Bombyx mori: one gene and its partner. The protein of the gene in region 1 purifies or fractionates together with the protein of each later gene. This does not show direct contact. Links are inferred from orthologs where the notes say so. Each region holds a gene or a part of one and is shown in the gene's direction. Other genes may lie near its edges.

The links.
Region 2: the proteins of ER membrane protein complex subunit 1 (region 1) and transmembrane emp24 domain-containing protein 2 purify together in Homo sapiens (affinity purification with mass spectrometry; 3 studies listed by BioGRID and IntAct, with this or other methods). This does not show direct contact. The link is inferred for Bombyx mori from reciprocal best matches to the Homo sapiens genes EMC1 and TMED2.

What each region holds. Positions count from the first base shown.
Region 1 is NC_085112.1:13,914,885-13,919,371, forward strand, and holds the start of ER membrane protein complex subunit 1, read left to right. Parts: upstream 1-1,564; 5' UTR 1,565-1,609; coding exon 1,610-1,752; intron 1,753-1,836; coding exon 1,837-1,952; intron 1,953-2,753; coding exon 2,754-2,885; intron 2,886-3,380; coding exon 3,381-3,579; intron 3,580-4,033; coding exon 4,034-4,358; intron 4,359-4,487. UniProt on the Homo sapiens protein: Part of the endoplasmic reticulum membrane protein complex (EMC) that enables the energy-independent insertion into endoplasmic reticulum membranes of newly synthesized membrane proteins.
Region 2 is NC_085122.1:5,875,981-5,880,037, reverse strand, and holds transmembrane emp24 domain-containing protein 2, read left to right. Parts: upstream 1-1,632; 5' UTR 1,633-1,775; coding exon 1,776-1,914; intron 1,915-2,217; coding exon 2,218-2,399; intron 2,400-2,824; coding exon 2,825-2,968; intron 2,969-3,100; coding exon 3,101-3,250; 3' UTR 3,251-3,371; downstream 3,372-4,057. UniProt on the Homo sapiens protein: Involved in vesicular protein trafficking. Mainly functions in the early secretory pathway but also in post-Golgi membranes.

The sequences.
Region 1 (4,487 bases):
AGCAGTGCTTCGCAGAATCTACCACCGGATCGGAAACGCGACCCACTGAGAAGATCCGGCGAGAAACTCAGTGGGCTGTGTCTATGGGTTAATTCGCTCGTCGAGCCCTTCGTCGCAAGCAACGGGTTCGACGAGGACGGTGACCGGTGCTTGTGGTGCCTAAAAACACCGTTAATGGATCAGGAAGATCCATAATGACGTGCTTTGGGTGACGTCGACGGTTTACCATACGGTCTACAGGGTCGGGTATGTAGTTTCCAGCGGCCACGACAAGAGGGTTATTATATCGTGCCGCCTTCTCAAAATGGCGCAACGATGCCGACTGTAGATACTTACTAACGGAATCGAGCTCCAGGTCATCGTGGAGATCCACGTTCCTCAGGAACCATGGCGCTCCGACGGAGTCGCTACTAACGCTCGCGCTGGTCTGTAACAAGGTATACTACGCGTATGTTCGAGTGCCACACATTCACTCTCGCTCTCTTTCTTTCAGTATGGTAGCGTTAAGCGTTTAACGCAACGTTGACGGAAGCTTTTTTTTTTTTATTGCCTTTGTAGGCAGACGGGCATACGGCCCACCTGATGGTGAGTGGTTACCGTCGCCCATGGACTTCAGCAATGCCAGGGGCAGAGCCAAGCCGCTGCCTACCGAAAAGTTGCATTAGAAGTTTCACTTCAAAAATTTTTTTTACTTTACGCAGAGAATTTGAATATTTCAGGGCAGTCAAGTACATTATTTGACCTAATTAGTAAGTCATATTATCATTTTATACCGTTAGCGCTCATGATCACTAAGTGTTTAGTAGGGAATGTTACTAACATTAGCAGGTTTATTTGGGCCACTACACTCCCTTTGACAACCAATGCCCTACGTTCCATGTCCATGTCCATCTTTTAATTCCTCAGTTACAATGTGCCCTAAATATTTTAACTGGGTTACTCTTTGTACAGGTTAGCCACAGAGGATTACAGGCGGGACATGAGGCGGTCTTTTGCTTACACCTCTGAACATCAACAGCTCACTTTTACTTGGGTTATATTTTAGGCAATGATGCTCGGCATAGGATTCACATATGGACAGCAACTTTCTTAACTCACACATTGATAGAATCAGCAGCACCATCTTATCTGCTTTAATAAAGATATGATATAGATGTGATAGAAATACAATTCTACAACCTATTCAACGTTACCAACAATTCTACGTTAATGCTTAATGTGTTTAATTAGCTTAATCTGTATATTTAATTAATTTCAGGTGCTTCGATAGTTTGCTTTTCTTTTTGGAATGGTTGCATTGAGTAAGTTATTTAAACTAGTCGTTTGAAGAAATAATAAGACAATTACTAAAATATGCATACCAACTAAAATGTGCACAGAAAGATCACTCAGGTTTCCAGTACAGGTTGCGTACAGTATAAACCAGACGAAAAGTTTTCTTTTAGTTATAAGGTTGATCCTTCTAGAATAGCAGTTTTTGTAGTTCCTCTAGAAAAATGTTAGTATAACCAGGCCATAAAATCTTTAAAAAAATTATGGCAATCTATAATCGTTATGTCAATGTCAGGATTGTCAATTATCACCGCTGTCAGACACTGGTCTTTCGGAGATGGGGAATTTGTCAATAAATCTAAAGCCTAATTTTATGGGTTTATTAAAATGTTTAAACAGTATAAATTGGTTTATTGTGTTTTTTAGTCTAATTAATTTATCCATGTGCATTTATGAGGATCAAATCGGGAAGTTTGACTGGTAACTATGCATTTTAGGTTATGCCCCTTGTATGACATCGTTAGTTTTCAAGGATTATTTTTCTAATAAAATTAACCTTTTCAGGCGCCAAAGCTATGTTGGGCGTATAAAGTTCGCCCAATTCGATACGGTTTCAACCGCCAGGAAGATAATAGTAGCGACCGAAGAGAATGTTTTAGCTGCACTCAATCTGAAGACAGGTACGCCGATTTTAATTATTCGAAACTTTTAAAAAATAATTTTTAGTTCAAAACACGGTATTGATAGATATCTGCATCAATAAGTTCACAGTATTCGTTGATTTTATGGTTGAATACTTAAAACATGATGTAGTCAGTCATAGTTTTAAAATTGCTATAGTCAGGGCTCCACCGATTCATTAGGGTATATATAGTGTGTATGTCCTATGGTTTTGATAAGAACCCATACTTAAATCTTACTGTTTATTGTCCCTATCACTATTTATGATAACTTGATTACTTAAATTTATTGATTATGCATTATAAAATCAACACAGTTAAAACATATTAATTAATAACTATAATTATGCACATGTCTTGTTTCAAATACACCTAAATTTTTATTGCTTAGGAAAATCATAGATTAACTAATCTTATTAGGTAGCAGTCTGTTTAGTAGGATTTAGAGATACCAGAGCTTAGTTATCAGTTACCTGGTTGAGTAATGTAGGCCTACAATAGCACCACCCTGTCTTTTTACTAACTCAATCATTTACAGAATAAAAAAAAAAAATGCCAACCTCTTTGAATTTAAATAATAACATTCTCTCAGTGCTCTTTTTGTATCATATTCATTAAAGCTGTACTAGCATAAGTGAGGTACCTATCCAAGTGAGCTCACAAAATTATTTATCACTAGTATATATGCAGTTTTTTGGTAAAAAATAAAATTGGAAATTTAACGGCTGTTAAAACTATACACTCAATAAACTCAATTTATATTCAATATTCAAACTCAACTCATATTTTAAAATTTAACAGGGCAGGTAGTGTGGAGGCATGTGTTTGAGAGTACATCTTCTGGCAACATCCAGTTGCTGCATCTATCAGATCAAATAATCACCGTGACGGGCTCCAATCCTTATCTCGTTAGGGGATGGGACTTGAGTACTGGTACGTAAAAATATTTAATTGGCTTTTTAGGGGTGATGATTCTTTTGCAGACTGAAAGGGAAATGAGTGTGTCAACTGGGCCATCAGTATCATTTATTTTGCTTATATTTAATTCTACACAAGTATTTCAATTTCTAAAACTGTGTCTATAGGACCGAAACAAATCAATCATTATTATATGGATATTATGTTTTCTAGTAATTAAGTCATTAATTGTTAGTATGTCTGCATGCCTTCTATAGCTGTAAAAAATTGTACTAATGATTAAAAATATGGTGCAACATAAAAAAAAAGAATCAGTTACATACATCAAGTAAGAAAACACTTGATTTAAATTCCAAATTTTTATGCAAAATCAGTTTGCATTATTACTAGACATTATTGCTGTATTCATTATTTATAGTAATCTAGTATTCATCATTATATATAGTACCATAAAGGCATAATGAAATATTACTAATAATAATAAAATATAATCATGGGTATTTTCTTCAGGCGTACTAATTTGGGAATGGGGCCTCACCCTCCAGAAGAATGAGCACACTGATTTCTCCGAATGGTGGGTTCAGAATGGTCTGCTTGTTCATATGGTGCCGAAATTTGGCTCTCACATTGAGGTCAGCGTCTACAATGTAGCTACTGGACATAATCGAGGAGCAACTTCGAAACTACCTGCTGTTTGGATCAATGAGGGGTTTGTATTTTTAACCTGCTAACTCCAATTAAAGTACTGATTGTACCATTTTAAATTGTAAAAATAATAATAGACTGAATATAATCAAATTCTAATCAATAATTGATTAATTGTCATAAAAATGATTCATATTATTGATAAAAATCATATGCTGAATTAATGAAGAGGACTCAGACAGTCGTGCTAAAAATGTATTTTTATTCTAATGTATTGACTTCAGTCATCCATATCAAACTGGGGCAAACTTTGTTGTGGTCTTTATGCATTCTATTGACCTCTAACATAAGGTGGGCAGAGGAACCTATGGCCTGATTTTATGATCTCTGCTTTCGGTCTTCACATATGCAAAGAATCCAGCCAAAATGTTGTCTGTTCATTTATGATAACTTTTTAAACTAATTATAAATAGTGGTAGATTCAAATAATAATCGATAATTTATTTCATATTCCATAGCTGTGTCTTATCTCCACCATATTACACCTGTATCTCGGGATCACCCGGAAACCAGCTGCTCTTATCCATGGATGTTACGTCTGATGCTGTACAAATCATAAGCAAACCTTTAGCAGAATACACAACGGCAAGGAATGGAAACCTGAATCCCTTCGACACTAACACAGTCATACCAGGGTTTCTATTAAATGAAAAAATCATATTGATCCGTGGCAATAAGTTTGAAGCGATCAATATAGCTATCAGTGAGCCATCTGCAAGTGTTGCTCTTGTGGATAGCGCTAGCGGACCATTAGTTTTGCAGACTTGGAATGATGAGGCTAAGGTTAGTCAAATAGCTTTTACTCGTTTTAATAGACTTAAGGGAACCTTATCTTTAAATGAAGGTAATGTGGTAATAAAGCTTTATGATATCTGACACTTTTTGTCAATATATAATGCATATTTGGCATAT
Region 2 (4,057 bases), on another chromosome or scaffold:
TACCTCAAGCACCGGTCACCGTTCTCGTCGAACCCGTCGTTTGCGACGAAGGGCTCGACGAGTGAATTAACCCTCAGACACAGCCCACTGAGTTTCTCGCCGGATCTTCTCAGTGGGTCGCGTTTCCGATCCGGTGGTAGATTCTGCGAAGCACAGCTCTTGCTAGGGTTCGTGTTAGTAACGTCGTCAGGTTTGAGCCCCGTGAGCTCACCTACTAGTTAAGGTTCCGCTGACATAGCCTCTCAAGGCTATCAGCTTAGGCAGGAAAAAAAAAAGTAATACGGCGGAAGCTGCCAATAACAATCATTAATATGTACTCATTCTTGCCACTGCGTCACAACTCACAATACAACTAGAAAATTTTAATAATTGTAAAATGGTAAGTGTGATCCTCCCGAGCTTGATTTGTGTATCAGTTATCAAAGTAAGTGGTAAATCTACACTGTTTGTTTTAATGTTATGAAGAAAATCATTCATTATAAAATGTTTAAGTCATTTCCTGATCTGGGCTGTTCCAATTTAATTTTTGCAAATATTTTCGACTAAGTGTGACTGAGTCACTTTCCGGTTCCCATACTTACGGCGGAGTACGCTAGTTTCGACAGGTAGGTAACGCTGGATTTACACTAAGTATCGCCCTAAGACACCGTCAGAATCGCTATTACCTTTAGTCTACATAAATTTAGTAATAGTTCGAAGCATTATTTTTTTGGAGTACCTTACTCGCAGTTGAAAACTTTGAATAACGTTTAATGAGTATTGTAAGATGACATCAAATGAAAATCGAAGAAAAAACGGAATAAAAATAATTATTAGGTAAATGAAAAAAAATCACAACTACATCCAAAATATTAACTAAAACCCGAAAACCATGCTATGCTAGTTATGTAAGGGGACAAACAAATTCAATATAACGACATATATAATATATAACATAGAATATAGCCGTAAGAAGCAACAGTGTACTTTCAACGCATAAGTAAAATCTAATTTGTTGCTGACGGTCATAGCTACGATACATAGCTTCCACAATCCACAGTCGAAAGTTTCGCGAAACAAGGACGATGAAAAAAATCTATTTTGAGTTTGCACTTATACACTGTCGTAACCAAGCTAGTTCTGCCAAGTGGGACTCCACCCGGCTGCCAGGTGCTTGCTCAACAATGGTGAAGCCAAGTCTACTTGCATTACATTACGGAACACAAAATTGACTTTTTGGCGGGAACGCGAGGAGTGAAGTTGTGTGATTTTTTTTATTTTGTCTATTTAGCGTTTCTTCAAGTTTAAATGTGTAATAACGGTAGTTTATAAACTGTTTAGTATCTGTGAAAGTGCACAAATGTGGGAAAAGCAAACAAAGCCGCTGAACGTAACTTATCGAGATCCTACAAAAAGTCAATTGAAAAAATCTCAGTAAATGACCACTATTTTACTGAGATTATATTTCATTACCATATCATCTCATCTCGTTTCATTTCATTTAATTTCACTTTATATTATCATTTTTCATAAAAATAAGAACATAAATTAAAATAAGAGTTGACCTAAAGGTCTTAGTTACCAGGTCATAAAATCGCTTAAAAAAAAGGAATTCAAAATTTTATTTTGATTCGTGGCAATGATTTATACGTCAAATGTCAAAAATGACAACAGCAATGACAGATAAAATAATGTCATGTTACGTGGCCCGGGTCGAAAATTGAAGCATACGCACGCTCAAACGTAAAAGACCAAAATAAAACAAAAATTGTATGTGATTATTCACATTTATTAAAATGAAGTACTTAAGAATATCACAATGGCTGGTAGTAACTTTGTTAAACCTAGTTAGCAATGCGTACAGCTACACAGTCACAGTTGATGCACATGCCGAAGAGTGCTTTTACGAAAATGTAGAAGCCGATACCAAATTGGGTAAGACTATTCAGCTGAAATATGCTTTATTTGCTTTATCTTACACCATTTGCACTCAATAAAATCAAATACAAGTATGTAAAGAAGAAATAACAAATAGGTTTTTGTTTATGTTACATACCCTAAAATCTGTATGTTTGCACACGAAATGATAAACAATATGCGTGAATGAAAACCATACTTGCCGAATTTTCTGAAAGGGGATGCTTGAATTGATATATTTGGTCATTAAATTAGATCTTTTTATTATTTAATTTATTCAATAATGTTAATGTAATTGTAATATAATCTTGATATTTTCAGGATTATCGTTTGAAATAGCAGAAGGTGGTTTCTTAGATATTGATGTAATAATACTAGGCCCTGATGGCAACGTCATTCATAAAGCAGAGAGGGAGTCATCTGGTATTTATACATTTTCTGCTCCAACTGCAGGGAAGTATACTTATTGCTTCAGTAATAAAATGTCATCCATGACACCCAAGGTTAGTATTAACTTTAGACAATAGTAAGATTTCCAGTTTGATGTTGTACAGTAATTTTATATGTAACAGTAGAACCTGTCACAAAAAGTCTGTTTTGAAAATAGCAAACAACATTAGCTTAAAATTATGTAACAGTTAATATTTTAAAAATTGTGAGCTATATAAAAATTGTGAACATCTTGTCTTGCCTCATCAATAGAGGTGAAATCCAAAAATATTATTTGCATCCTTTTTATTATTTCTTCCTTTATGGATGAATCTTTAATATTCTTGTTAGTTATTTAGTTAAAATAGCTTATTGATGTTCTTTTTTAATTCAACTTAACATAAACTAAACATAGCTTAAAATTATTGTATCAGATACATTAACAAGGAGTTTCATTTGGTAAAGCATGTACAATTTTATTGTAATATTTTGTTAATAGGTGGTAATGTTCAATCTTGAAATCGGAGAACCACAAACTAAATCTGGTAATGAAAATGAAGCTGACCATAATAAACTTGAGGACATGATCAAAGAACTTGCTACTACATTAAGAACTATCAAACACGATCAAGAGTATATGCAGGTATATATTCTTGTATTATCTTACAGATAAATGATACCGAAAATAGATTAAAATATGAAAGTATTATTTTTTATTACATTAAAATCATTCCTAATAAAGTTATGCAAAATCTCAAGAACATACTAATTTCAGGTGCGTGATCGTATCCATCGTTCAATAAATGAAAGTACAAATTCACGTGTGGTGATGTGGTCTATATTTGAGGCTTCAGTACTGCTTGTCATGACTATCGGACAAGTCTACTATCTCAAGAGGTTTTTTGAAGTGCAGCGTGTTGTGTAATGTTAATAGACTTATTTTACATTACACGTGTTGGTGTGTGAAGTGTTGTATGACATTTAAATTATTTGTTTATCCAATGAGATGAAATAAGTTTTTGTAATATTAATAAATTTAAAATCTCCCTCTTTGTTTAATTCAAAACCAGAGAAATATTTCATGTAAATCAATATATTTTTCTACTAATAATGAGTCTACTAGACAGTATTTTATTAAATATCTAATTGTTAATGTATTAATAGTAGAAGCATGACTTAATGCACTATTTATTTTGTTTAGATATCATTGCTGAGCATTTAATACAACATCTGTACAAAGTTTCCTGCGGGTGTTTTCTATTTAAGCTTTTGAATTCTTTTTCATTTTATTAAATAAAATTCCATTTATTTATTTGTTTTTGGTGATTCAATTCACATTTTATGTGTGATATCTTAATAAAAGGGGTGATTCCCACTTCTTTCTAGAAAAAGATTAGAAATTCTCCCTAGTTAACAAACAAACACGTTTGTTTGTTTTATGTGACGTAGAGGGTGAAAAGAGTATTATCATCACTTTACATACACTGTGCATTATGCCTAATCCAGTTCCTTTCTAGGTATTTTAGGAAAAACTGTTTTACTGATGTTAGGACATCTTGTGAGTCCACACGGGTAGGTACCACCACTCCGCCTATTTCTGCCGTGAAGCAGTAATGCGTTCCGGTTTGAAGGGTGGGGTAGCCGTTGTAACTATACTAAGAAGTTAGAACTAATATCTCAAGGTGGGTGGCGCATTAACGTTGTAGATGTCTATGGGCTCCAGTAACCACTT